7 separate regions of the Mus musculus genome follow, and regions 2, 3, 4, 5, 6 and 7 are each reported to be linked to region 1. The links are microRNA targets in miRTarBase. Many come from high-throughput screens and were not tested one by one. Region 1 holds a microRNA gene; each other region holds the end of a gene's coding sequence.

Evidence for each region. The annotated mature microRNA mmu-miR-7b-5p reads UGGAAGACUUGUGAUUUUGUUGUU and lies in region 1 at 1,645-1,668, shown strand. An mRNA with a match to its seed (bases 2 to 7 or 8) in the 3' UTR can be bound and repressed. Matches are read on the target gene's strand: a 7mer-m8 pairs with bases 2 to 8, a 7mer-A1 pairs with bases 2 to 7 and ends in A, and an 8mer does both.
Region 2: miRTarBase lists Fam53c as a target of mmu-miR-7b-5p. Seed matches in the 3' UTR shown: 7mer-m8 at 3,650-3,656 and 8mer at 2,488-2,495.
Region 3: the mRNA of Megf9 is a reported target of mmu-miR-7b-5p. Seed matches in the 3' UTR shown: 8mer at 1,826-1,833.
Region 4: miRTarBase lists Kif16b as a target of mmu-miR-7b-5p. Seed matches in the 3' UTR shown: 7mer-A1 at 1,102-1,108 and 8mer at 1,254-1,261.
Region 5: miRTarBase lists Wipf2 as a target of mmu-miR-7b-5p. Seed matches in the 3' UTR shown: 7mer-A1 at 650-656, 7mer-A1 at 705-711, 7mer-m8 at 1,635-1,641, 8mer at 1,670-1,677 and 7mer-m8 at 2,474-2,480.
Region 6: miRTarBase lists Hadh as a target of mmu-miR-7b-5p. Seed matches in the 3' UTR shown: 7mer-A1 at 3,430-3,436.
Region 7: the mRNA of Atp1b3 is a reported target of mmu-miR-7b-5p. Seed matches in the 3' UTR shown: 8mer at 3,026-3,033.

The regions. Positions count from the first base shown.
Region 1 is chr17:56,241,373-56,245,439 of GRCm38, forward strand. It overlaps Mir7b (microRNA 7b), which reads left to right and starts at 1,616; the gene lies at 1,616-1,726. It overlaps A230051N06Rik (RIKEN cDNA A230051N06 gene), which reads left to right and starts at 344. Exons shown (of 2, transcript NR_155493.1): 1 at 344-442; 2 at 784-1,433.
Region 2 is chr18:34,770,576-34,774,642 of GRCm38, reverse strand. It overlaps Fam53c (family with sequence similarity 53, member C), which reads right to left. Exons shown (of 5, transcript NM_001357456.1): 5 at 883-4,045. The coding sequence ends at 3,785. Among named protein-coding and RNA genes, the nearest start is that of Kdm3b, 4.4 kb to the left of the region's middle.
Region 3 is chr4:70,429,729-70,433,795 of GRCm38, reverse strand. It overlaps Megf9 (multiple EGF-like-domains 9), which reads left to right. Exons shown (of 6, transcript NM_172694.2): 6 at 265-1,869. The coding sequence ends at 716. Among named protein-coding and RNA genes, the nearest start is that of Cdk5rap2, 21 kb to the right of the region's middle.
Region 4 is chr2:142,616,376-142,620,442 of GRCm38, reverse strand. Kif16b (kinesin family member 16B) reads left to right here. Exons shown (of 26, transcript NM_001081133.2): 26 at 527-2,098. The coding sequence ends at 685. Among named protein-coding and RNA genes, the nearest start is that of Kif16b, 280 kb to the left of the region's middle.
Region 5 is chr11:98,899,256-98,903,322 of GRCm38, forward strand. Wipf2 (WAS/WASL interacting protein family, member 2) reads left to right here. Exons shown (of 8, transcript NM_197940.2): 8 at 390-4,067. The coding sequence ends at 430. Among named protein-coding and RNA genes, the nearest start is that of Cdc6, 6.5 kb to the right of the region's middle. RefSeq lists an enhancer at 2,398-4,067.
Region 6 is chr3:131,230,584-131,234,650 of GRCm38, forward strand. Hadh (hydroxyacyl-Coenzyme A dehydrogenase) reads right to left here. Exons shown (of 8, transcript NM_008212.4): 8 at 2,836-3,704. The coding sequence ends at 3,586. Among named protein-coding and RNA genes, the nearest start is that of Hadh, 39 kb to the right of the region's middle.
Region 7 is chr9:96,329,850-96,333,916 of GRCm38, forward strand. It overlaps Atp1b3 (ATPase, Na+/K+ transporting, beta 3 polypeptide), which reads right to left. Exons shown (of 7, transcript NM_007502.5): 7 at 2,806-3,845. The coding sequence ends at 3,675. Among named protein-coding and RNA genes, the nearest start is that of Atp1b3, 33 kb to the right of the region's middle.

The DNA of each region.
Region 1 (4,067 bases):
AGTCTCATTCCCGCACACTTCATCTTCCCTGTGTAGAATTGGACTTTATTTTCAAAATCCCTCAATTTCTTCAAACATTTTTTTTCAGCTTCTCTGTCCCAGCAGGCACACGCTTGATGATCGCTAATCCTCTGGCTACTCAGTGATCAGGTTTTAGATGATCCTCTCGTGGAAACTTAACAGGCCACAGGACTACACCCTGACACCTTCTGGAGACCCCTAAAGAAGTTTTTGGACGGATGCCTGACTTTTATTCTGAAGCCGAGGCCTCAACCTATGAGGTAATCCTTGGAGCTTCATTCCAAGACGATTCCTATTGGTTCACTGGCTAAGCCCCACCCAGGGTTTCCAGCGCTCCGCCTTCCCCTTAAGCGCATAAAGGTGAAACGTCGGAAACTGGACAGCCACCGAGACACCTGCAGCTGCTGGTGAGCAGGAGAAGGTAAGGCACGAAGGAAGGAGGAAAAGGTGCGCTGAGGGAGGGAAGCGGGGACTCTGGGTACAATGCAAGTTGGCACATCTTCCAGAAGGCCAACTGGACTGTTTAGGAAGGGCAGAGAACCCAGGGCTGTCTCCCTGAGATGTGGGAGCAGGTGAGAGCCTTGCGCCTTCGTCCCCGCCTAGAACACCCCGGGTCCATGGGAAGAGATTAAAACAGAAGATGGGTCCCTAGGACGAAGAACAGAAACAAGGAGCGGGGCATTTTGGCAGAAGGCAGAAGCTGGGAGAGTGTCCTCGAGCCGCACTGACCACCCCCTCCCCCAATAACTAATTATGTTTCAGCACTGGAGACGCGGACAGCGCCATCCGGCTGAGGGACTCGGAGCAGAGTTCGGCTTCAGCACCAGGATTTCGGACAGCTCCCAGCGGGTCACGAAGAGACTAGGCTTCAGCACCCGGCCCCTGGCAGTGCCAAGCTCTCAACACCCAGCTTCAGGGATCGCCTTGGGGTCTGTTCTGGCGGAGAGTGTACAGGGAAGGAACCTCTTAATGGTTCTTGGCATTTGTCCTTTACGGAGGGATTTTTTTTTTCTTTTTTGAAACAGGGTTTTTTTGTGTGTACCTCTAGCTGTTCTGAAACTCACTATGTAGACTAGGCTGGCTTCAAACTCACAGAGTACAGGCGAAGCATTTGGTCAACGAGATGTTATGAGTGCCTCTGGGTGTACTAATTTCCAAAGTGAAGTGGTGAGGGGAAAGCCAGCCTCAATCCAACTTTAAATCTCAAGTTCTTTTTATTTTTAAAAAGAGTTTTTCTCTCAATTATATATATAATTATTATTATTTTAAAACACTGTAGACCAAGCTTTGAACTCCTTGTGTAGCCAAAGATGATCTTGAAGTTCTCATCCTCCTGCCTCTACTCCCTGCGTGCTGGGGTGACAAGTGTGTGCTCCTCGTGCCTGGAACAATAAATCCCACGTTGGTGATGTGCCAGGGTGTGAGTTGGGGGGCAGGTAGAGAATGAATCTTGCCTGTGTCTCAGGGGATGGAATGGAAAAGGGATGTCTAGGGAGGGTAAGTCAGTGAGTGGGGTTTGTTATGCTCAATCCTCTATGGAGAGAGAGAGAGAAGCACTTGAGGGTGTTGAACCTGGCGGAGGAGGATGAGGACGAGGAGCGGAGTACGTGAGCCAGTGCTATGTGGAAGACTTGTGATTTTGTTGTTCTGATATGATATGACAACAAGTCACAGCCAGCCTCATAGCGTGGACTCCTATCACCTTTCTCCTGAAATACACAAACAGGTAGGGGCAGGAAACTGGGACAGGAGGGGGTTAAGGGAAGTCTAGCACGGACAGGAGAGGGTGTCTAGCAAGGTCTCGGGCCCTGGGAGAGTGCAGGAGTGTTTCCCATGCTATTGGCCTGTCACTCAAACACATCTACATGATAGGATCAGAGACACAACCTCAGGGCCCTGGGTCACAGCACCGTGCTTTCTCTGGAGACTCAAATAGGGAATGGTGAGCCAGTGGAGTAACTCAGAGGGAAAGAGTGCTTTGAAATTAGGGAACCCAAGCTTGAGCCCCAGGATCAACTGGGTAGAAGGATAAAACCAACTCCTGCAAGTTGTCCTCTGACCATACATGTCCTGTGACACACATGCTTCCACACACAAATAAATAAACACACATAAAAATTTTTCTTTTTTTTTTTTTTAAGAGAGGGTTTCTGGGGCTGGTGAGATGGCTCAGTGGGTAAGAGCACCCGACTGCTCTTCCGAAGGTCCAGAGTTCAAATCCCAGCAACCACATGGTGGCTCACAACCATCTGTAATGAGATCTGACTCCCTCTTCTGGTGTCTGAAGACAGCTACAGTGTACTTACATATAATAAATAAATAAATCTTTAAAAAAAAAAAAAAGAATTACATTTAAAAAAAAAAAAAAAAGAGAGGGTTTCTGTATATAAACCTGGCTGTCTTAGAACTTACTCTGTAGACCAGGTTACCCTCAAATTCAGAGATCCACCTGCCTCTGCCTCCTGAGTGTTTGAATTAAAAGCATGTGCATACATAAAACTTTTTTTTTTTTTGGTTTTTTGAGACAGGGTTTCTCTGTATAGACCTGGCTGTTGCTCTGTAGACCAGGCTGGCCTCGAACTCAGAAATCTCCCTGCCTCTGTCTCCCAAGTGCTGGGATTAAAGGCATGCGCCACCACTGCCCGGCCATAAAACTTTTAAAAGAGGGATTGGCATCAAAGGTACTTCTAGAAAACCCTGAAATTCTTTTCTCTTTCTTGTTTTCTTTTCCTCACTCTTTTCACTTTGCCTGCTTTGAGACAGTGTCACCTGTAGTCCAGGCTTTTCTCTAACTCTGAATGTAGCCCAGGATGGCTTTGAACACTGAGTTCTCTTGCCTCCAGTCCCTGAGAACCATGCCTAGCATACACGGTGTTGGATTCAGAATTTCAAATGCTTTGACTGGGTACGGTACCCATGGAGCCCCAGCCCAATTTTCAATAAAACTCTGTGCCCGCCACACAAAGCAACCACTAGTTGCATGACTGATACCAAGAAAATGTGGACTTGTTGTCTGGTGGGTCATGGCATTCTTAACATTCAACACCTATCATCTGTGACATTCTAATGCAGTCACTAACCATCCCCCACTGTGCAATTCTCCCCAGCTGTCCTAGTGTGCATCCTGGTGCTGTGACAGGACCTTGACTCAAGAAAAGGGCAGGAAAGAGTTTATTCAGCTTACAATGATGGCCACACTCCATCACTGAGGGAAGTCAGGGCTGGAACCGGGAGGCAGGAGCTGATGCAGAGGCCATAGAGGGGTGTTGCTTACTGGTTGCTTACTTGCTTCCCCTGGCTTGCTCAGTCTTCTTTCTTATAGAATCTGGGACCACCAGTCCAAGGATGGCACCACCCACAATGGCCTTAAATCATTAATCATGAAAATACCTGATAAAGGCCTTTTCTCAATTGAGGTTCCTGCTTCCCTTAAGCTCCACCCGTGTAAAGCTGACATCAAACTCAGTCACACAGCAGCCCAGGGGCTGCTTTGTCCATGCAGTTTCCTCTCTTGGGTCTGCACAGTCCACTCACATAACCTCCCATAACCAACTCTGCCTTCTCCAGGCTTCAGCTCGGTGGGAGAAACTTCCTGTTACCTCACTGGTCAATTAGGACAAGACTTTGTTAACATTCTCAGCCTCCTGCAACGGCCACACTATTTAGGAAAGGCTGATACTCTCAAACAGAATGTTTACAGATCTCTTCTGGGGGACTCTAAGTGGGGCTCCACCCCTGACCATGCCCTCAACTCCTCACTGGGTGATTCTAGGAGACTCCACCACTGAACCTGGCCCCCATCCTTTACTGGGGTTTCTACGTGTGGGCTCAACCCATGACCCAAACCCAACTACAGGGAAAAAATACCAGGAAGAATTTAAGATGAAAACATGTAGATTCAAGGCAGGGTTTTTATTGATAAGTCATACTTCCAGCTTTTATTTTGTTTTTGTTTTTTTTTTTTTTTTTTGGAAACAGGATAACACTATATAGACTAAGCTTGTCTGAAACTCAAGAGACCCACCTGCTTCTGCTTTGCCTCTAGA
Region 2 (4,067 bases), not on the chromosome of region 1:
AATTCCATCCCTTGCTCTGGTGAAGGTGAAACAGAAGAGTTACAGTCTTCAACCCCTTAAGCCATCTCCAAAACTCCTCCGTCTTTGTCTCCAGGGCAGGAGGCAACTCCCACTCTGGGGAATATTTTCATGCAAAGGTTCCTGCTCCAGGTAGCAAGGCCAGTCCTGCCCTGCACACTTCATTGGTGTTCCAAGATGAGTACCACAAATGGGAAGCAGGAAAGGATGTAAACTACGCAACTTGACTCTTCCTATACCTGGTATAGAAAGAGGCCCTTGCTTGGCTCAGTAGCTATATTTCATCCATACACATTAGGAAAATGTTAACATAGGAAGGGCAGGATAGGAAAGGCAGGATTCAGGAAACAACAAAAGCATTAGAGAAGGTATCCTTTTTAGGACAAAAGAGCTTTGCTTGTTAGAATAATTCTGCAAACAGGATTTTTAAGAGGAAGAAGTTACCCAGGTCCTTGGAATCTAAATTCTGATGACTACATCTCCATCTCTCCAGGATTTGGCATGTGAAGAAACGTTCTCTCCCAAAGCCTACGGATCAGCTCAGGCAGGTTTCTAACCATCCCATGAGGCGTATCTCAGGGAACTGGAATGTACTAGTACTTGACTTTAACTAGCTGGAAAATGGAATGATGTCAGAAAAGGACTGTGTTAAGTACCAGGGAAATAGGGACCAAGCCATATCGACAGAATCCCAGGTAACAGAGTCTGATCACAGAGTCTAGTGTCCAGATACTGCCCTTCTGCAATGAAGTTAAATTAAGAGGAATGTTTCTTCCTCTCCCTCTATGTGTTTGTGTTTGTGTGTGCATGTTTGTGCACACACATGTGCACATATAAGGGAAAAAGACACTATCGTACACAAGGTTGCTTGGGAAAATGGATTATTCTAATAAAACTTTATTTTTTCAAACACAGCCACAGAGGCAGAACCTCATGTTTTAACACACACAGACTTATGGATTTTTTAATATAAAACAAAGTTTACGAAAAATTTTTTTCCACTTTTTGTTTCTGTAATCCCATTAGCACAGGGACTTTGGCAGCAGGTGGGAATGAAGGGCAGCTAGAGCTGCCACTGGGCAGTCACCGGGCACAGGAGGAGAGCATCAGCCTGGGAGTGGCTTCACTCACGCACGCAGTAAGACTCACCTGCTGGCCAGCCACACGCACCACACACGCAGCACAGATGCAGGCGTCTACACAGCAGCAGCCACAAGCCCCGGAGGTGTGCTCCACTCTGGGTAAGCCCACTGTGTGAGAACCCAAATGATGAAACTGGCTAAAGTAGAGGGAAGTTGCTTGCTTTACAAAAGAAGCAAACATAGGCTGCCTTTACATGGTCAGCAGTCCAAATGCATTAAAAAACAGCGTTTGGTTTACACAGAACCGTTGGAGCAGAGCTACTGTGTAAAACCAACGATTCACGTCTTGAAAAGGCTTGTTCCAGGGCCAGAGGCATTTAAACTGGGAAGCAAGATGATAGTTCTGCCTAGTTTAACATTCCAGACTTAAAGTAATGGAATTAAAATATGACAATTGTAGGCCTCCTTCCCTAAGGGCGGTGACCTAAGGGCTTTGGGAAAGCCAGGTTGGAGGCAGAATCACTGCCTTCACTTAAACTTGGGGCCCGCAGAGACCCCATTGGCACTGCCAGTGACCTACTGGAGGCTGACACTGCCATCTGCAGCAGAGAGCCCAGGGATGAGGTTGCCCCAGGTGGAAAAGAAGCTGGCACCAGGGAAATTATGGACCAAAGAGGGAGAACCAGGGAAAGATGAAACCTACGATAACTCCTGGGCTCAGTTTCCCTGAATTCTCAGGAGAGTCTCTCGTAGGCCCTTAGAGACCGGTAGCCCAGTGGTAAGATGTGGTAACTAGCCAGGAGACAGGGAGGAGCCTTGAGAAGGTAGAACCTCTGAGGGCCACAGGTTTAAGAAGACATGGCCACCTCCCCTGAAGTGGAGGCAAAGAGTCTGACGCCTCTATAGTATTCCTATTAGCATGTGGGAGACATTAAACATCAGGCTCAATTCCACAAGGAAGAAAGTACATGACCTTAGTTGTCTTCTGTAACACTAGGAACTGGGCCTTAAGACACCATGGAAATTGAACAGAAAAGTGCCCTTACTATAACAACTGGGAAGGGCAGGTCCAATTTCGCTATACAGGGTGTTCTAAACAAAGCCTCACAGGATGCATAGTGACAGCTTCTATATGCATGCCCACAGGTGCCAACCCTACCAAGGTAACTGCAATCTTCAAGTCCATCCCTCCAACCACTGGATCTGCTGCACTGGCTGAAGTTGTGGGTGAGAAACAAAAAAAGAAATTCAATCCAACAACAACAAACTCCCAGCTGCTTCTCATAGCCTTTGCTTTACACACCCCAAGTCAATCCCTCGGTGAGCCCCAGCCTCTCTGTGGTCTCTCAGGGCCAATTAGAAGCAAATAAACATTTCCTGGCAAGTGTGGAAGACAAGCAAACTATTAAATGCTGAACACCCTACCTCTTTTTCAAGCAGATCAGAGAGAGACCGGGCCTAGATATTGCAAGAGTAAGTTTCCCTACAGCCAGCTTCCAAAAGGCAGTGCTGAGGGTGGCCTCAAGGACTTCCAGGGAATAATGTCACTGCTCCTGGTCTGCCTCAACACATTCTTGGAGAGCAACCCTGTCTCTGACTTGTAAGATCAGAAAAGGAAAGGTCCCCTTGGGGAAGAGGAGAGCGCCCAAGCTCCTTAGCTCTGCCTCAGTTGTCCATCTGCTTGCAGCTTCTCAGCAAGCGAGAGAAGCGGGCTGCAGACAGCTTAGACAATGAAAACAACAAGTGTGGGGACTGCCTCAAGCCTCAATACTAGATTCATCTAGTGGGAGAGGGCGGGACTTCAGAAAAGCCCATTAGCTGAAATCATAGTACTCAAAAGATTCTGCTAGACCCCAAAACAGAACCATTTACAGAGCAGTGATGCGATGAACTTAAAAGCCTGGCTCCAGAGCTATTAAGACCGAAAAAAAAAACAAAAACAAAAACAAAAACTCTCTCCTCTTGACACCTTGAACAAGCCCAATGTTATATTAAGGAAACAAACAAACAAAAAAACCCACAAGATCCTGGGGGTATCCTGACGCTCTGCTGTTAAAGGAGCAACTGCCTTCCTTCCCTAAGGCTATACAAACGCACGCACCTTTCCTCAAGTACACACCCGTGCACACACGCACACTCACACAAGTACACACCCATGCACACACACACACACACTCACACAAGTACACACCCATGCGCGCACGCACACACACTCACACAAGTACACACCCATGCACGCACACACACTCACACAAGTACACACCCGTGCACGCACGCACACTCACACAATTTCTCCGAGGAGGCTGACTGAACCCCCCCACCCTGGCCAAATTCTAAGACACAAGTGCCCTTTGAAGCAAAGGGGCTAGTGAAATTCCCCGAGCTGGGGTCGCAGACCCCTTCCTTCCCTGCCCATTGCTCTTAGTGGCAGGGATACTCACACTCAGGGCCGCCATGGGGAGGGTCTGCTCTGGGGCTGTCCCTCCCGTCACCAGCTCCATTTATCTTGTCCCCGCCAGTCTCTTGGCATGGTCGAGTTTGCTGGAGCAGGAAGACTTGGGCTGCCCTGAGTAGGAGCCCTCCATTCACCCCCTTTCCCAGGCTGGGCCCTCAGCCTTGGGGCCCTCACACGTGTTAGTAACCATTACACAGTCTGCATGGGCCCAGGAAGCAGCCTCTCACTTTTAGTTTTCTTCAATCAGATTCAGGTCCAGGTCCCCAAAGTCCTGCTGGCACAATGTCCGCTTGCTCAGTGCCTGCCGTTCCCACCGCACAGACCCCTCTTCCTCCTCTTCGCTTTCACTCAGCACCTGGGATGAACCCTCGACGGGACTGCAGGAAGCAGAGAGAGGTGGGGGACTACAGGCCATGAACCATGGTGGAGAGACGTTGCTGCCTTCTTCTCGGGCTGTTTCTTGGAGACAGAGACCTCCTGAGTATGGTTTCTGTCAACAAAATTAAAAAAAA
Region 3 (4,067 bases), not on the chromosome of region 1:
ATGTTAGAATTTTTCTAAAGGTTTGGTGTAGGTGTTATACACATTAAAGAACAGACCTGGATGTAAGATGTAATAAATGAGCTTTCCAGACTCCATTTCTTATCATTGTATTTATTTAAAAATTATTTTTAACTTGCATTCCTCTAAGCAGAGTACCATGTCAACATTCCATATCAACTTTCACTTTCATGTGTATTTCTTTTATTGTTTCTCAAAACTAGATAATTTTGTCTTTTACATTTCATTCTCTGTTTTTATTTTCAGAAGTTATTGTTCCAACTCCTGAAGGTTCTACCATTTTGGTTTCCAATGCCTCTTTGACCACATCAGTGCCCACCCCTGTTATAAATAGTACTTTTGCCCCCACAACCCTGCAGACTATCTTTGCAGTAAGCTCTTCTGAAAACAGCACCTCAGCTCTTGCTGATGTATCATGGACCCAGTTTAACATCATCATTTTGACAGTCATCATCATTGTGGTAGTGCTGCTAATGGGATTTGTAGGAGCTGTGTACATGTACCGAGAGTACCAAAATCGGAAACTCAATGCTCCCTTTTGGACCATCGAGCTGAAAGAAGACAATATCAGTTTCAGCAGCTACCATGACAGCATCCCCAATGCAGATGTGTCGGGATTGTTAGAGGACGATGCCAATGAAGTGGCTCCCAATGGGCAGCTGACCCTGACAACACCTATTCATAACTACAAAGCCTGAGAAGCTGAGTTGTCCTCCTGGATTGTCAGAAAACAGTGCTCACTTAAACAGCACCTGACCTCTGGCTGCACAGAGCCTAGGTAGAGTTTGTTGAGAAAGGTATTGTGCAAATGTTCAGGTACAAACTGTAGTGCGCTTAGCCTGTCTGTTGCTCTTAATTCCCCCATGAAGATCTGAAGCACTCATCATCGAGGACTTGAAGTAAAGTATATTTTTGTAGCAAACCACATGTATATATGGAAAGGCTGAATCCCACAGAGCAGCCTAAGTCTACCTGGCCTCTCAAAGGACTGCTCGGAAAGTGTTCACCTCACCAGATGTGATAGAATGTTGATGTGGAGGGGAAAGACTGATGGAAGAATTCATCTCCACTTTGGAAACATATTTTATAAAAGAGAGGCAGGGATTGTGTTCATTTTACTGTACTAAGAGATGTAACTTAGGAAGAGATGATATCTAGGCTAATAAAAAAAATCTTGGTTGTGTGTAGACTAAGAAAGGTGCCAAGAAGTTCTGTAGAAGGGCTTGGCTTTCCTTCTAAGAGTCTCCTTCAAAAATGGAGTTAAAGCACAGGATAAGCTTCCATGGTGAGGGTAGGCACAGCAGGCAGAGAGCAGAAAGCTGATGGTCTCCTCAAAGAGGTTCCTGCCTCTAAAGAAACAAGGTGTACATAATTAATGTAGCATTATCTGGTCAACATTGTACTTGTATCTATTTGTAAAAAATCATGTCCTATTTTATCATCTAGACTTTATCTGTATAGCAGTTAATGGTGTTGTAAAAAGAAGATATGGGAACTTGGTTAAAATACTGTAAAATAGGTGACAATATTGCTAGAGCTGGGACTCTGGTGAGCATCAGTCATTTTAGTCCCTATTTGGACACTGTTGAAATTGATAAGAGGTCAAATGTTTCTAATCTTTCCTCTCTCAACCTAGAGTCATATGCTCTTTGACTTACCATAGATTCAAGCAATAGATTTTGAAGTCTGCAATTGCGAAACTGGAACACAGGCTGCATTCTCCAGACACACCTAATTAGCCACTCTGTTTTACACTGCTCAGTGTAAACTCCTCAGGAAAAGACTTCTTTCCTGAATGTAAAAGACAGTCTTCCAAAGGACAGAAAATTTAAATTAAAAAGAAAAGCCATCACATCACTTCGGGGTTCTTGTTTTTATGCCCATAAAATATTTATGTGCCTCCCATATCTGCCAAAATAAAGGCCTCTGACATTTGAGCATAACCTGTCACCCATGCACCATGAGGACTGTTTGGCTTCTTCAGTGCTGGAGTTCATCCATCTTCATATCTGGGCAGAGGGTCACTATGGGTGTGTATTTAGTCCTTGCTTTTTGATGCCATTTTCCCTGAGGCCAAGTACTGCTGCTTTCATTTGTTATGCATCCATAGGTTGTAGATTGAGAGCCAAGAAAAGTGACTCAGACTATGAAGTAGGGGAAAACAAAACAGAGTAGACCTAGGAAGCTCAGACTCCTTTTCTTACTTCCTCAGAAAAATAAAGACGTTGGTCATCCTTTGTAGGAGACCTCACCTTTTTCTCAGGGTTTAGAAATGACTGTATACTAGAGGATCCATAGGTAACCTGGGTGTGCTCTGCATTTTTGGCTGTCTTTATAAAGGTAGACATTACATCTCATTGTACTAAAACAATTTACAAGTGACTGATTGCCTAGCATATGAGTCTATGAGTTTAATCCTTAGAATTACAAAATATATTAATAATATTTTGCCCTTTGTCATTTAAAAAACACCTTTCCATGTGTTCTTTGATCCTCACCCTAGCCTCCTTAGGAAGTAGTCTTGTGCTCATTTCATAGATGAAGTAACTGAGGCACAGAGAGTCTAAGTTGTTCAGCGCTATACCATGCACATCATCATTATTATTCCTGGAATCAGTTCTCACCTCTACTTCATTGTCATTTTGCTATGTGATACATATAAATCTACTAGCCATGGGCCCTAGAAGACTGGAATGGAAATTCCCATTTGTGGATGCTTCTAATAGAGCCCTTGTATGCTCTCTAGAATACTACCCCCCCCCCCACCCCGCCATACCATGTGTATATATTGGGGTAGGGGAAGTATGTAACTCACAGGCACAATTCAGGGCCACATAGATACTAAGGACTTTGTTGAAAGAACACACATGGATTTCTACCTAAAGACAAGATTAATGACGAGAAGGTAAAGCTGCCAGTTCATTAAAATGAATGAATTCCTGAATTGGGGAGGGGAGCAGAGAGACTTTTCCTAGCAGTTGCAGCACAGGTGTGTATTGACTATACATCACAGAGTTCCAAAGTGCTGAGCACAATGGCTGCCTCCCAGATACCCCATCTCCTGCCAAAATAAGTGGAAAGGAGATAAAAGCCAAACGTTTGTTAAACAGTTCACACAATAAATAAATGTTTATATGAGTTTAAGAGCCAAAGTAAACAGTCGAGATTCCAGCTAAATAGAGATTCCATGATACAGATCTTAAGAGATAACACAGAAACTAAACCACAAATTTATCAAGTACCTGTTAATTGCTCCTAAATCATGTTTTTCACAATGAAAAAAGCTATAGCCTTAAAATGTGTTGTAAATAACATCATTTAGTGACCCCGTTGCTCTGCTTATACAAATTATTTTGTTGTAAAGATCAACCATGAGGTGATCTCTCCTTGAAAGTAGAGTAGGAAACCAGAATAAAACATGCTGCTGGGTTTTCATTCCTCTGGAGACATTATCACCCAATGCCACGAGTCCTCTGCAAAGCCCGATGCTGGAACAATTTTTGTCTAAGCATAAAGAAAATGTTGTTTTTAAAATATACTACATACATGACCTTAATGAGAAATGGATGTCAGTGCTAGGAAGGAACTAATGCTTGCGCCTTCAATAGCTCCCCTGATTAAGTCCTGTGCATTTCTGAAGGTGGATGTTGTACTTGTCAACCATGCCTTTGTTCCCTTACCACCACCATCCCCTACATTGCCTCCAAGGACTCTCCTATTTACAGTCTCTCCAGAGAAAGCAAAATGATAATTAAAATCTCTTATTTATATGAACATGGTGTGGACCCAGTACATTATTTTTCCCAGGGATACTTAGATTTTAAGGGAGAGCAACAGGACAGACATGGGCTGGGAGGGTAGGTTTTTATTGTTGTTTTGATTTGGTTTTTAGTTGTTATTGTTTCATTTTTTTCTTTTAACAAGACTATCTAAATCCCAAATTATATTACTTTTCCCTAGTCCCAATATTTCCAGAATCATTAGTCATCAAAGCAATACTCACTGGTCTACCAGTTAATTTGAGTTATCTGATCATCAAGATGTTGTGG
Region 4 (4,067 bases), not on the chromosome of region 1:
GTTGACCTTTCACCTTAGGAAGAATATTTTGTTGATGATGATTATAAAGTTTTTAAATGTTCTGTAAAAACTAGTGCCTGGAGCTGATCCTATTTGATACATAGGATTCAAAGAAGATACAAATGCTAACATTGCTCAGATGGTCACCCTCCATCCCCACCCCCCTGTGTGAAGCTTTAGAGGACAATGACATTTTAAGTAAGGTAAAGTTGCCATAGGGAAAATGCCCAGGGTTAGCATGACTGGCATTCCTCATGGCACTGAGTAGATGGACATCAGGTGACATTTCTGTGGATTAGAGACCTGAGCCAAAGAAATTCCTACTGTGGGCTTGGATGTCACTGCTCTGTTTACTCTGCACAGGCTGACAGTAGCCCAGGAGGTCAAGGACCTCTGGAGCATTCTCTCCTTGGTGGTATTGATGAAGTAAGTGTTTATACATGCCAGGGGTACACAGGAGAGTTTCTCTCCCCTCCTTGACTGTAGCACTGTCTTGACCATAATCTTCATTCTTGTCTCTTCTCAGAAATACCTCAGGGAGTTTTTCAGTGTGATGCTCCAGTCCGAGACATCTCCCCTTCACATCAACAAAGTGGGACTGACCCTGTCCAAGCACACCATTTGTGAATTCTCACCATTCTTCAAGAAAGGAGTTTTTGACTACAGCAGCCATGGGACAGGGTAGAGCTGTGGCGACCAAGGAACCACCAACACAGTGCCTTCTCATCAAATAGACTCTGATGCAGAGTGGACTCCTGCACCAGGATTCCAGCTTGCCTCCTCCAGTTGTGGCAACATGCAGCAGCCAGCCCAGACCACCTCTCACACCATATCTAGTGCCTGAGTTTGGGAGTGGGTGCTTGCCTGCCAAGGGCAACTCTGATTGACAGTTGTTACTGTACCTCTGCACTTGAACGTGGCCTTTCCCATAGTACAGCAAGTCAATCCCCTGTGGCAGGATGGATGTGTGGCTTGCTTATCTAGGGACTCCTAGAGCCAAGCCAACTTGGGACTTCCCATTGTGGGTGGCTTACCAGACCACCCTTAAGTGACTTTCATCTGGTTTCCTTTTTCACCAAAATATGCTTTTTTTTTTATACTTCTTCCATGTGGCTGGCTAGGTTTCAAAGATGTTTTAAGTTATGTCATATTGTTTTGTTCATTTGGATTTGGATTTAATAATATCTAAATACTGACGTTTACATAGAATGTCCTGTTCAGTAAAAAGGATCTGTAGGCCAATCATGAGAAGAGTCTTCCATGCCTGACAAATTGGATGTAGGCAACATTGCAGAAACTTGCAGAAATCCCTACAAATAAGACATTGTTTAACCTTCACTATTTGAGGGCATTTTCCCAAACCTCAAAGGCTGTTGTTCATTTTTTAGCTTTTTCTGCATAAAACAAGTGCAAAGCTGGATGCAATCTTTTAAATATCCTTTGTCCATGTTTTAGTACAGAACCTTCAAGATCATTAACTAAAAAGAGAGAGAGAATTTTCAGTAGTTTATTAATAATCCCTCAATTACTCAGGACATAATGTAGCATTTCACATCGTGTACAGTGAAACTGCTTCCTTTATCAAAAGAAAATTGTGAGTAGGAAAAATCTGTGGTATATATTGAAATGTACATAATTCAACATATAGATTTATATGTATACACTCCTGTACAATAGTATATCAGGCTATATGATCATTCACACCAAATTTATTAAAGGTGTTTGCTTTTTCAACTGTTAAATTGAGCTGCTATCAATATTAAATGAAGTCATGTGCTATACCCTGTAGTTCAGTTTAAGTTTGTAATATGATCATTTCTACTGGTCTGTTTAACAATTGACCTGATATGCTTAGAAAGAGGCATATTGTACAATTTAGCATTTATGTTGCAGAAAATGCAGTTATGATTGAAGTCACAAATGAATGGATAACAAAACATGCTTGCATTCAGTCTTCTAGAACATGCCCGCACAGCAGATCTCTCCAAGCTCACAAGAATGTTGGAAGATGCAGCTAGCCCTATAAGGAGGAGACTAATATTCAATTAATTAAATATCATAGCTTAGCATGAAAAAATAAAACGGACTCTTTATTTAATTGCCTCAGAAGTGTATGCTTCTCTCTCCAGTCTCGATTATAGGCCTAGGTTTCATAGCAATTGCTATCAAGAATTTAAAACTAAAGATTAAAGGATAAAAACTGGGAGATGATAAATTAACCATGGGTCATTTATTTAAAAGAAGTTCAAGTGCTGAAAACTATCCCTCATTGGCTTGAGTAAATTTTTTTTTTCAACTGACCAGATAATTAATATGTCTCTCACCCTCTGGGGCCTATATTGAAAGGTGGGCTCTTGGTGAGCATTTTGTTAAAATTATACGTGTGCTATTTGGCAAGAGTAAAGAGTGTATTTGTGATGATCAGTCACAAGGAGATCTTCCTTGTATCAAATGCATGGTAGTGCTCAGAGCCCTAGTATTGACTAGCTCTGGCTAAAGCCAGCAAAGGCCTGGACCAGTCACTCCATCCACCCAGACCTTGGCCCCATCTGAAAACAAAGCTATTCTCTGAGATGATTCTAGCTCCCGCTTGGACCTCTGGTTACAGCAGGGGGTTAATTATTCCGGTTGGTCCAGCTGAAGACCTCCATGTACAGGAATCATGGAGTTCCTCTTGAGCTAACAATAGGAGAGATGATAGGTCTGAGCTGACAAAACGGAAGCCTGGGCAGCTTGAACTAATTTAAAGAAGTAAAAGAAATTTAATTAACAAGTATGTATGCATCATTGTGCTTTCAAGCATCCTGGATACCAAGTGGCCACTGTCACAATTCAGACTGACAAGTCATCCTCTTACACTTTGTTGTTACTTGGACAAATCTGGGGGACTTCTGTTTTAAAGTAGGTGGCATGCCTTCCTAGACATTGTTTACAAAATAAATACTCCTCTGTCTTGTTTAAAAATCACAGTACAGTTACCTTCCATTGGGCTCCCACACAGACCTTGCCCTCTCATTATGAAGTTCAGATTCAACCCTGACGTTGAATAGGAACAGAACAGTAGTCATGTCAACTCCTAGTGACTGCAGCCTACAAGAGTCTCTCATCATGATATAGAAATGCTTAAACAGGATTCCTGGATCTCAGATCATTTTAGATCTAAATTTTTGTGTAGAAATTTAACATTTTTATGTTAAAAAAAAAAAAAGTAGCTCAGCCTGGCCTCTGATCAGCTACACAGGCTCTATCAGGATCTGGGCAGAGATCGTGGATATAGCACATGGATGAACCCAGTGGATGTCCAGTACTCCAAGGAGCTGCCTTAGAGCCGCAGCTCCCAACCTCAGATCAGGGCATGGTAGTCGGATGGATGTCATTGTGAGTTCTGCATTGTATGAACATAGTATACCAGTAACAAGACATATTTATGTCCTTCTATAATGTCAGAATTTATTGAGTAGCAGTAACTTCACAAGGCTAATAGACTCTCTCTCTCTCTCTCTCTCTCTCTCTCTCTCTCTCTCTCTTTATTTTGGTTTTTTCAAGACAGTGTTTCTCTGTATAGCCCTGACTGTCCTGGAACTCACTCTGTAGACCAGGCTGGCTTCGAACTCAGAAATCCACCTGCCTCTGCCTCCCAAGTGCTGGGATTAAAGGCGTGCGCCACCACTGCCCAGGGCTAATAGTTTCAAAGACAGCAATTTGTCATATAGTCCTGCCCTACTGTGGTTGCTTGGCTGAGGCAAATACAGGTTCTTTTGTTTTTATCTTAATTGCTACTGTTAATTCATAAGCTCACAGTAAGTATATCTAGATGTCCTTATGCATATATATGGCTTACATAGTGAATTCAGGTTAAAGAAGCTGGAGCAGAGTTCAAGAGGCTTCAGAAGTAGGCGGGGTCTGTATGGATACAGAACCAGATCAGTATCCTGAGCAGCTGCTGCTGGAGTTAGAGTTTGGGTTCAAAGCCGCAGGTTTCAGCTTTAAGATTGAAGGGCAGACTAGGTCTGCAGCTAGCAGTGGGTCAGAAGCAGGTCTAGGTAGAAGGACAGACGGATGGGGCA
Region 5 (4,067 bases), not on the chromosome of region 1:
ACGCCTTTAATCCCAGCACTTGGGAGGCAGAGGCAGGCGAATTTCTGAGTTTGAGACCAGCCTGGTCTACAAAGTGAGTTCCAGGACAGCCAGGGCTACATAGAGAAACCCTGTCTCGAAAAAACCAAAAAAAAAAAAAAAAAAAAAAAAAAAAAAAAACCAACCATAGATCTTTAAAAAAGAAGGGGGTGGGGGGCAGAGACAAGCAGATTTCTGAGTTCCAGGCCAGCCTGGTCTACAGAGTGAGTTCCAGGACAGCCAGGACTACACAGAGAAACCCTGTCTCAAAAAAATTAAAAAATTTTAAAAAAAGGAGGCTGTCTCATTTCAGAACTGTTCTATCCTTGGGCGCGTGCACTGAATATATTTATCTTCTGTTTTCTCTCCAGCTGCCCGTGGAGCCCCACCTCTCCCACCCATTCTCAGGTGAAGCTTGGCGTAGTCCTGCTCCTCAGGAAAAGGATGGACCTCCTCTTCTCAGATGGCCTCCCAACCCTAATCCCTGCATGAGAGCTCCTGCAGTGTTTCTCCAGTGCAGCCAACCCAGGCTCTGAGCATCCTCCAGCCCAGCTCCATCTATGCATCTCCTCTCTGGACTCGGTGATTGGACTCTTTCTATTGGCAGTAGGGTCTACTCCCATCTCCACCTTCTTCCAGCAAGCCCTGCTAGCCAGAGGAGGAGAAAGCTTCCACGCCTCCTGCTTTCTTCCAGGGAAAGGTGCCTTGTTGTGGTGAATGGACTCACATTGGGCAGGGCAGAAAGTGTAACCCCTGTCTCTGTCATTCACCGAGGGCGAAGTGTGGTGTGTGCATTATAGCCCATAGTTTAGGAGGTTGGTGTGGCCAGAACTTCTGAGGAGAGGTGTTCCATGATGCAGGGAGGGGGTTTGCAGAGAAGTGATCTGTTTTAAAGGTCGGGTTACAGAAAGGACAAGGACATGGGTCTTCTTCATTTTCAAGTGTTTTGGTTTTGTTCTCATCCCCTTCCCCCATCCCAAGAGATGAGCAGTGCATACACACTAAGTACTGATCCGCTAACTAAACGGTAAAGGGCACGAAGCAACGGAGGGTCATTTCAGAGCCAGTCAGCTCTTGTGCAGCTAAGGGCCAGGGCTGTCCGAGCTCTGGGACCTCCTGCCCCTTCCCCAGGGTGCTAGGCTGAACTGTGTCCCTTCCCGATCCCACAAGAGAAGAGCCACTTTGTTGAGGGCATTGTCTATTCTCAAGTCACAAACCCTACAGACTTCCTATAAGACATGGAAAGATAGGGCCTTAGCCACAGCCTCCTGATGGCTTCAGTTTTTTCTGATTAACCCTGAAGTGGCCAGCAGCCTGAGTCCTTCAGCCCTTGGGGAAAGCTCCAGGGAGACTTAAGAAGGGAACCGAAGCCCTGGCTTCATGGGAGTGTCTGGCTCTTCAGGGCCAGTAAGGTCTTGGCAGCCTGCTCATAGCGAGACTCTCACACCCATCAGACGGCAGGCTCTTCCTGTTTTCTCTGCCACCCACCCATACCTTACTGAGACTGCAGGGTTTAAGGCCACAGCGTAGAAAAGGGAGCTTCAGGAGGAATACAGAGTCCTGTAAGCCAAGCACAAAGACATAGGGAGGCATGCCGCCCGCCATCTAGGAGGTGGGTCTTCCCTGGCGGCCAGCAATACATCGTTTCTCAGTCTTCCAAGGTGTAGGGAAACAGCACAGGAAGTGGGTGTTCCAACGGAGGCCGCTCTGTTGGCCAGGAAGTGTCTCTTCTCCACTAGCAGTGTGGGGCGCCTGAACTCCACACCCAGAGAAGTTGGTTTCTGACAGTCCTTGACCTGGGCACAAGCTGCTCAGATCTTACATCACGGTAGGGAGACCAGGCTGTTCTCTGAGTTGGGTAGGGGAAGCTAGTGAAAAACTTCCAGATACACCATGGGGTTAAATTATCGTAGGGGCTGTCCTTTTTTTTTTTATTATTATTATTATTTTTATTTTTATTCTCCGCCCACCCCACTCCACTCCCACCCCCTAAGACAGGGTTTCTCTGTGCATTCCTGGCTGTCCTGGAACTTATTTTCTAGACCAGGCTGGCCTCAAACTCAGAGATCCCCTGTCTCTGCCTCCCAGGTGCTGGGACTAAAGGTGTGCGCCACCACGCTTGGCTCATAGGGACCTTTCTAATCTAGTGGACCATAGGCTAAGGATCTGTGTGTAATGCCAGGTCAGACCCAAATCTTCTAGGACTGGAGAAAGTGGACCTAACTTAGTTCATTTATTTATTGAGTGTTGCCCATTGCCAGCTCTTGGACCACTTGGACTTTTGGGACAGGCAGTGGTTAGATCTTACCGGACTTTTAATTGTTCACTATTTATCTTCTTCTCAAATCTGTTAGCAGTTACGCTCCCAGCATCCTAACTTGAACAAAGGGAAGAGAGGGAAAAAAAGCTGACACTTGGAGAGTTCCAGGGTAGATTCTAATGGTTGAACTGTGAAGTCTTCCCATTTGTTGTTGAAATGGGAGCTGATGCCTTTTGTACAATGTTATCAAAGTGTGAAAATTTTCCCTTACTGAAGCATAGACCATCAGATATATGCGTGCGTATTTATGTATGTGTATATATATATATATGTATATACACACACACATATAGATTTGTATACACACACATACATCTACTCACAAAGCCAAACCCGGGCTTTTTGCTTGGGCTGATGGTACCTTCCTCGACTTGACCTGCCACCCTTTCTAATCCCCAGAATCAGACTGTGCCGCGTGGGTATTGATGATATATTTTCGTTGTCTTTGCCTGGTGGAACCACCACCAAAAAAAGGCTTGAATTTAGATCTACATGAGTGAGTTTGCTCCTCCAGTTAACGGATTGTGTTGATGACACAACCCCTAACTTAAATGTCTTTGCCTTATTCATCATTTGGTCCTGCTGTTAATAACAAATTTATTATCATGTATATTTGCTATTGAAGATGGGAGTGTGATCCTCAAAATTGTTGGTCTGTTTTATATATTGTACACAGCTTGTAATGCAGGTTTAAGGTAGCCGGGCTGTGAAAACCCTGACACTGTTCCCCTTTAAACTGTCCTTGATGTCCTCATGGGAATGTCGTCTCTTCAGTGGAAGATTGGGTGGTCTCATGTTGAGGCTATTACTTAGTCCCTTTAATCCCCTTGTCCCCTCCCAAAGGGGAGAGACATTGCCCAGCTAAGCAGCCAGAAGCTCTGTCACAGCTTTCGTGGTATTTTTCCCTAGTGGGAAACGCTGGATGGCTGTTTCTTACTGCCCTGCCCTGTCAGGCGGTGGTTCTGATTTTCAAATGAGCTAGATGCTCCTCTTTCCCTTTCTCCAGTCACCAAACCTGGACCAAAGTACTTCATATTCCAGGTGTGGGTTCCTCTCTCCTGGGATTTGCTGCAGCTGCAGAGCCCTGCCCTTTTCGCAGCCTTGGCCACTTGTGTGAGCCACTAGGGCCATCCCAGCCTGATGGACGGGAGGCGGTCCTCACCAGGAATTCAATTCATTCCCTGCCCCCTTTCCTAGCCTAGGCAGAGAAACTAGTCACTGGCCATTGCCCTGGGGGAATCCCCTCACGCAGTGGCTTCCCATCTTAGAACCCGGACTTACCTCCAGGCGGAGGTGAGGGGTGGGGAGTACTGTAAATAGACTTGCTGCAGAGCAACTCAGGGTTGGGGTATGTTTGAGTTCTCCTGATCACTTGAAAACTAATCTGTAGGCTGAATGCTTCTGGAGTGTGGGGGAAATGTGACTCCGGGGTCCTTTGTCCTCTGAGGCTCTGCGGGTGGAGGGTAGGACTTCAGAGGCCCTTTGATAGCACGGCTGCGCTGTCTGCCCTTCTGGAAACCCAACCTGCCATCAGCTGTAAATCAGATTCTTCACATTCCAGGTGTAAGCTTTCCCTTCCCTGTGACTCTCAGTCCCTAGCTACATGGTCAGGGGGACTCTGTTAAACCACCCAAATTTAGGGAATGAGAGGGGAGAGAGGAGGCCATTAGGAGTCTGCCTTCAAGACTCATTTCTTGAAAACAAAATGGAAAAAAAAAAAGATAACCAC
Region 6 (4,067 bases), not on the chromosome of region 1:
GTAACCCCATGGCTTCCTCTGCAGTGGGTCTTTTTGCACTCCATAAGACAAGCATCATCCTTTGAGATCTGACCATCAGCATCCCCACGGAGAGGTTCCGACTCCATGTCCGCCTTACCCAGAACATGGAGATAAGAACACCTCCGGGTTACTCAGGCAAAGTGAGGCTGAAGACCACAAGCCATTGGGGTCCTTTCAAAGCCCATGGCATGAAGAGAACTGACAATCCTCCAACAGCTCCAACTGGTGGGTGCAAATAAAACCCACCATCGGTGCCCCCGACAGCACTCTATCATCCATGGTGAAACCGTGCTTTGTCATCTCAACAGGGTAACTAAGAAAAGGTGACAAGACAGGTGGGGAAACCCTGTGATCATGACAACCACATCATTAAAAAAAATAGAGCTGGGCAGTGGTGGCGCACACCTTTAATCCCAAACAGCACTTGGAAGGCAGAGGCAGGCGGATCTCTGAGTTCGAGGCCAGCCTGGTCTACACAGTGAGTTCCAGGACAGCCAGGGCTATACAGAGAAACCCTGTCTCAAAAAAGCCAAAAAAAAAAAAAAAAAAAAGGACACCACCAAGTGGGTTTTTTCAAAGTATGGTGTTATAGCTCAGCTGGCAGAGTGCTTGTGAGGCACACAGTATGTCCTGGGTTCGGTTCCCAGCACCCAAAGGGCTAGGGAGGCAGTAAGATCAAGGTTCAAGGTTATCCTGGGCTCCATCTGGAATCTGAAATCAGCTCAGGACACGCGAGTCTCTGTCCCCAGGTGGGGAATAAGAGGGACCATAACAATGATGCCATCACGCAAGTGTTTTTAGATTACTATTTATGTTGCCCCAATGCTTGTTAGCAAGAAAAATTTCCCCGTGGAATTACAGCCACACCTTGTATTTTTAATAGACTTAAGTTACTTAGGTTGAAATGTTAAGGGGATTAAAATTAAGGTGGTTCAAACAAAGGCCCATGTCACGTGTATGAACAGCTTAACTCACCATGAGCGAGCACCACCAGCGTGCACTGGTGTGTCAGCCATCCCTCACGTGCTGATTTTACTTTCTTCAGTTGCAGGCAGCCCGATCTCAAACGAGTTCCTGGAAGCTGACCTTAGCCAGGCTTAACCACCTGGCCGAACCCAGTGACGAATCCCTTTATAAAAGGTTTTGAGTGGCTTTGTAGGATGGCCCACATCAGTCTTGAATTCACAATCATCCTGTCTCCACCTCCCAAGTTCAGGGATTACAGGCGTGGACTACCGCACACTTGGCTGACACCAGCATTTCTCGGGGTCAACACCTGCTTCCCCGTGACCCCCCGCTACATCAATCAACAGTTCCCTAGAAACAGACCTCAGACCACGTGTCAGTAAATTAAACAATGCCCCCCCTCAGTTGCTGTTATTAACAATAACAATAAATCTCATGGACATTAAAAGACGGTAGGTTTGGTTCTGTAACATGTTTGCAAAATAATCAAAGAATTTCCTTTGAAATTTTCACTTCTGTTGGCGGAATTAATGTCATGGAGGGGTTGTGGAAGGAAATTTTTTTAAAAACCTAAAACACTGTATTGATTATCAAATGCTATGAAAGATCCACATACTACCATTAGGAGGCAACTTTAGAAGCTGAGAACCAAGGCTCACCCCCAACAAGGGTGACCAAAAGCAAGATAAGACAGCTCAGGGATGGGAGTCCTACTAAGGTTGATTTTCAGGCAGAGCCATGGAAGGGCACAGGAGACCACTCCCCAAGTGCTAATTGGAGAAGAGAAGACTCCAGGTCCCTCCTGGTCAGTCCCCCAGGACAGAATGCATGGGAAAGATATTATACAATGGCAAAGGAGTTGAAGGATCCAAGTGCATTTAAAAGCACCCTCCAGAAACAGCGCTCTGCTCCTGCCCACCCTGGAAGCCAACAGTTGCACTATTGAGCATTCGCTCTTTCCTGAAACTTACTGGCTAAGAAAGAGTTGGGCCATTTTCAGGATGAGTGCCCACATCCTCTGTAGACTCTGGTTAGAGGGTGACAAACTGAAGCCTGTGGGCCAGAGGTCACAGCAACGGTTACGAGCTAGCCTGAGAACAAGCAGAGCTGTGAGGCCACAGGTGACCTAGAAACGGCGAGGCAGACTCCCTGAGCCGCTTCCCTCCCGGGACCAGGCACTGTGCAAGGCCAGCCAGGTTCTCGTGTGCTGCTAGGCAGAAATGCATCTCAGCGTGCACTCTCTCACTCTGTCATCCACTCAGAGCATTGAAAATGTGTAGGTTCTCTCTTAGCACACACAAAAGAGGAAAGAGAAAAACAAGAACGTCAGGATGAAACTATGACCTACAATTACCTACCTGTTCTGGGGAAGAGCTATCTGAGAGCTGAGATCTGCATGTTCAGACTCATTCTTTTGTCTATACCATCAAAAATCTAGATCTAATCCGGAACCTGGTACTGAATATCTGATGACCTTGGACTCATCCCTTAAGCTCTCTGCTAATGAAGCCACTGGACATCAGGGCTTCAGATGTCTTTCCAATTCCACATTCTATCATGGAAGACACTCTGTCAACCCAATGATTAAAAGAATCTTATGTTACGTTGTTTGACTTTGTTGGCAAAGAAGAAACAGATGTTCTTAAAAACCGCTCTTTGTGCCCTTATGACTATTTTACTGGTAAGGAACGTGGAAGGGCCAAACACAGATCTGTCTCTCTCTCACACACACACACACACACACACACACACACACACACACACACACACACACACGCCCCCCACCTTTCTCTCCCTCCCGTGCTGTCACTTCAGTACCAGCCAGAGTTCAGAGAAGACAGGCCCATGTTTATAATTACTTAAGGATTTTATGCTTTTAAGTTATATAAGTTTATTTATTCCGATTCCAATGTTTACAAATTAAAAGATTTCATTTTAGTAGAGTCAATTCATAGGCACTTGGTAGCACAGATTTCACCGGAAGAAACAAGAAGGACGGACAGTGATGGTTAAGATCTGAATGGCCTCAAAGATAGGCCTTTCCCCCAAAAAACAAGCTCACAGGTATTTGCCCACCACTCCAGGAGTCCTGGTGTGGGGTAAAGAAAGACAGAACATTTCCTGTCAGGCCCAGAATGTAGGCTAAGGCTCGAGGCTGCAGGCTGCAAATGTTCCCAGGCAGGCAAGACCTCACGTCCTACTGGCTGCTGCCCTTGGGTGCATCTGTAGGCCCCGTGGCTCCTGCCCCTGGGGTTCAACACCGATAAACATAGAATACTCATTTTCAGAAGACCTGAGGGAATGAGTCTAAGCAACGCTTTTTACAAAAAGTGGCAAGGTTCAGGAAAAAAAAAAAAAAAGATGTTGCTCCAAGGCACCAAGGGTGTAATTTTTTTTCAGAAAAAGTCAGAGAACAGACTAAACTAGAGAATTCCATTTCAGTGGAAGAACCCCATGACTGCAACTAGTCAAAAGATTACTTCAGAGAGACTGCAAGGGAGGGCCCACTGAGCCGCCCCTGGCAAGCCTCGGTACCACCTGCCCAGGGCTTGCTCATCCTTGTCCCATGGCTGGCTGGAGGTGTTGCTGGGGGAAGTGTCACTTGTATTTGTAAAATCCTTCTCCGGTCTTCTTGCCCAGCTTCTTCTGGGCCACCAGATTATTCATGGAAGGACTGGGCTGAAATAAGGGGTTCTCTGGCTCCATTTCATGCCACCCTGTTGAGAGAAAGGGCACAGGTTCACTTAGGTTCTGATCTTCTCAGGGCATGCCTGGGGCACAGAATCCATGCAGGCCAACATGGCAGAGGCACCAGGCAGGCTGCACGGGTACAGCCAACATTGACTCTATAGCAGGCTTGCTACTAGAAGCCTAGCTCCACTGGAGGGCTCCCTGTCACACAGGACTCCCTGCAAACCAAGGCAAAGACCTAAGAGCACAAACAGAAACTGAAAAGAGTTTTCCACATCCAAGCTAAGTCCTAGGTTGTTCCCGTAGGTAGTTTGCAGCCTCATATAATTTTAAATTTTCTAAGTCAACTAAAACAACCCTTTTCCTCCCCCAATATTTAAAGGTTTTGG
Region 7 (4,067 bases), not on the chromosome of region 1:
ATTTTGTAACCAATATAAAACTTTCCAGCTCCTAGACCCACATAGAAAACAGCTTGGAACTCTTTTTAAAAGTACCCCCAATTTTTCCTTTCATTAGGAATATTACACTGTTTCAAAATACCACGATTCAATCAACTAACGGACACCAAACCTTCTCCATCTCCTGTCCAGTTGGGCTAAGTGCTGGGCTCAGTGACTGAAGTGCAAGCTGACTGGGTCATCCTTTTCTGTGGTCTGAGGGAACAGCCTGCAGAGGAGGCTGCTGGATCAATCATACCACGCCAGAGAGCGAAATGCACAGACAACATTGTGTATATCCTACATTCTGAGGAAAGCCTGGAGCAGATGCCAATTGGCCTATGGCTCCCATTCCCGGTCCACCTTATTATCCACAGAACACAGACTCAACTACCCTACACTCCTAAATCCACCTCATTACCCACAGGACATAGACCCAGCTCATTCTGCCTCCCAAAACATTTCCACAATAGATCCAGAGGGACATTTGGAATGACCTGTTCCTGAGCACCACCTCTGCCCATACCCAGCGCTGCCATCTGTGTAACCGAGCTAACTCCTAGGCCCTCTCTTGTTCCCTTTGGGTTAATGAACTCGAATAGGCTGTGTCCTTTCACTCAGTATGCTTCAAGTTAAGCAGGCACTCCTAAGTTCAGCAGATGAAAAAACAAAAAAACAAAACAACCTGAAGACTTGAGGTCAGCTGAAGTCACATGGCAGGACTGGACCAAGTCCAAAAACTGAACCAGAAAGAAAACCAGTTAAGACTTAGGATCTATGCCCCAAGTCTTCAAAATCCACCTCGAGATGACAGCTTTGCTCTCGGTTACAGATCTACTCTGCTTTAAACTTTTTAACTTTAGACGTTTTGTCACGTATGTGCATGGCGTCTGAGGAGACCAGAAGAGGATAGAAGGATGCCCTCTGGCAGTGGAGTTGTGAACCACTTTGTGGGTGGTTCTGGGAGGTCCCCGCTGCTCTCTGCTGCCTGTCTCTCCAGCTCCTGCACTCACTCACTAGCTCCGAGACTGCAGCCCCATGTATCTGGGGTCAAATCCCGTGCCTCATACATACTCGGCAAGCCCTGACCTAACATCCCCAGGCCTTAGGCTTTAGTTAAGTTCACAACTATTTAATGAAATGGTGCCTGAGCCAAACCTGCCGACTCAGGATCTGCCCTACTGTCGGCACCGCTCGGTTGCAGGCCTGCCGTTCCTACTCCGCAGACCAGGACAGCCTGGTCTCACAGAACTGTTGCTCAGGGTGATGTCTGGTACGTGTGCCAGGCTACAAATTATCCATCCTTACTTTACTTTCTCAATATGAACTGGGAAGCCGAGGCAGGATGGCTGTGGTGGCTTGAGTAATGGCCCCAGAGGCTCATATATATAAATGCTTAGTCGCCAGGGAGTGGCACTGAGAGGATCAGGTGTGGCCTTCTTAGAAGAAATTGTCACTGAGGGTGGACTTGGAGGTTTCAAAGGCCATGCCACTCCATGTTTCCTTCTGCCCGCAGATCAGGGTGTGACGTCACTGCTTCAGTGCCTGCCCGCTGCTTTCCACCAGAGCACCTCTGTAACTATAAGCAAGCTCCCAAATGAATGTTTTCTCTTGTAACAGCTGCCTTGACCATGGTGTCTCTTCCCAGCAACAGAACAGTGACTTAATCCAAGGCCATGTGAAACCACCCAGCAAAATCAAGAGACAGAAAAAGCACAAAGGAAAAGTCCAAGTCCAGGAAAGGTCACCTTTAAATTTTCAGGCATCACGGAGTTTTGTTGATGACAAAGTGGAGAATGTCCACCTCCAAAGTACAGCGGTGCCACCTGGCTGGCAAGGCCACCTAATTCCCTCAGCTTTCCCACATAGCCAACCTGAGACAGTTGGGTTCTTGCCCCACCAGGTCTGGCTTGCAGACCACTGAAAGCCTCAGAATGTGGCTCTGCACCATCCATGATAAAAAACAGCTCTTAGAAAAATGAGGATAGCCGGGCGGTGGTGGCGCACGCCTTTAATCCCAGCACTTGGGAGGCAGAGGAAGGCGGATTTCTGAGTTCAAGGCCAGCCTGGTCTACAAAGTAAGTTCCAGGACAGTGAGGGCTACACAGAGAAGAGAAACCCTGTCTCGGGGGGGGGGGGGGGGGGGGGGAATGAGGGGGCTGGAGAGATGGCTCAGTGGTTAAGAGCACTGTCTGCTCTTCCAGAGGTTCTGAGTTCAAATCCCAGCAACCACATGGTGGTTCACAACCATCTGTAATGAGATCTGATGCCCTCTTCTGGTGTGTCTGAAGACAGCTACAGTGTACTCATATACATAAGTAAACATAAAAAAAAAAGATAATAAATGAGAGATAAAACCATAAATGAGAAGCTGGAGACAGCTCAGTGGTTGAGCTCTCCATCCAAGGATGTAGGCTTAAGAGCAAGTACTTACATGACCGCTCACAACTGCCCTGAGTCACAGGGGGATTCAACACTTCTCTGGCCTCCACACTCACCGGGAGCTCAGGCAGCTCACATACATGCATGCTAACCAACCAAACCAAACCAAACCAAACCAACAAACAAAAAGCTTTCATTCAAACATACATACATACATACATACATACATACATACATACATACATACATACGTGTGAATGAAACCCATGGGTCAAATGGAGGCCCTCTCCTCAGAACAGAAAGGGCTCCAGTTACTACAGTTCCAGCAAGAATCCACCCGAGACGACAAGGACAGTCCAGGGCTCCAGTCAGGATGTGAAAGAAGACTCCATCATGTGTTCCAAGTTTTAAATCAGTTTGAAGTTTTTGTATTTCACAATTTGTTTTTATTAGGGTCCACAGTCTACTAAATAAAAGCACTTAACAAGACAGTTTGAAAAACTATACAATTTATATCTTGGGAATTTCATTCATTCAAAAAACAAAACAACAACAACAACAAAAATCGGTGCACATTCACCTAATTTAAATGCTGTTTCATCCCTGTGTCTAAGATACCCGAATGTGGAAGACTTGATTCCAACACTCAAAGTCAGCCCAATAGTATTTTTAAATATGTACTACAACAGAAAGTTTGTCCTCTCAGCAAAATCAGATATGGTCTAGTTCACCTTGTAAGAAACAGTCTGGAGCATACGGACAGGCACCACTCACACATGCGCAGAAGCAGAGTCTACTTTCAGATCCACTTTATTTTCCTTTTCCCTCCTCACATACAGAGCTTCTCAGACATTTCTTCCAGCTAAAGTCACTCGATGTTGGCAAGGTACCATTGTATCCCTAAAACTTTGTTGGCATCAAAATATGCAGTTACCAGTGTTAAATCCATAAAATATGTACACAGCCCAGCACATGAAGCTTTAGACGTTTGGCAATTACACACAAAGAAGACAGGGCCCCCACTCTGCATGTTTGGGGTCGGGAGCTCACTGGTCCCTGTCTGGCGACCGTACATGGGTTCAAGGGCAGCAGAGGCAGCAGGCAGTTACTTCAGAGGACACTGAACACTATGATCTGGAAGCATGTTATGATGTCACCCAAGTGTGTACCACACCACTTCCTCCTCCAAGGTGGCCTCATAATCCTAGAATGGCAGGTCCAGCTGATACAAAATGGCGACAACACAACATGAATTCTGTGGAGACATCCTATTCCTAGGCTCGTGCTGTGACTTTGAACGAAACACGTCCCAAGAACTTGTCACGCTCATTCTTGTTTTTTAGGTTCCTGGTTCCAGCAATATGGCACTCAACTGTTACTTCTTTCTTGTTAAGACCAGAGTCAAATTTGACCTGTACGGCAACTAGGGGCTGTCGATATCCAACCTAGCAAATGGACGAACAAACATTAGTTCCAATTCTTTGGTAACTTTGCCTGCACTCAGGAAGTCAGTTTCAACTTTCCTTTTTTTGAAGCAGTCTTAATTTGTAGCCCAGGCTGATCTCACATTTCTCAAACCTCTGGCTTTAGCTTCCTTCCAAGGTCAGGGTTAATAAACATGCCCCGAAGCACCTGATCTACTGTGTAAGATTAAGTCTTTGAACTTA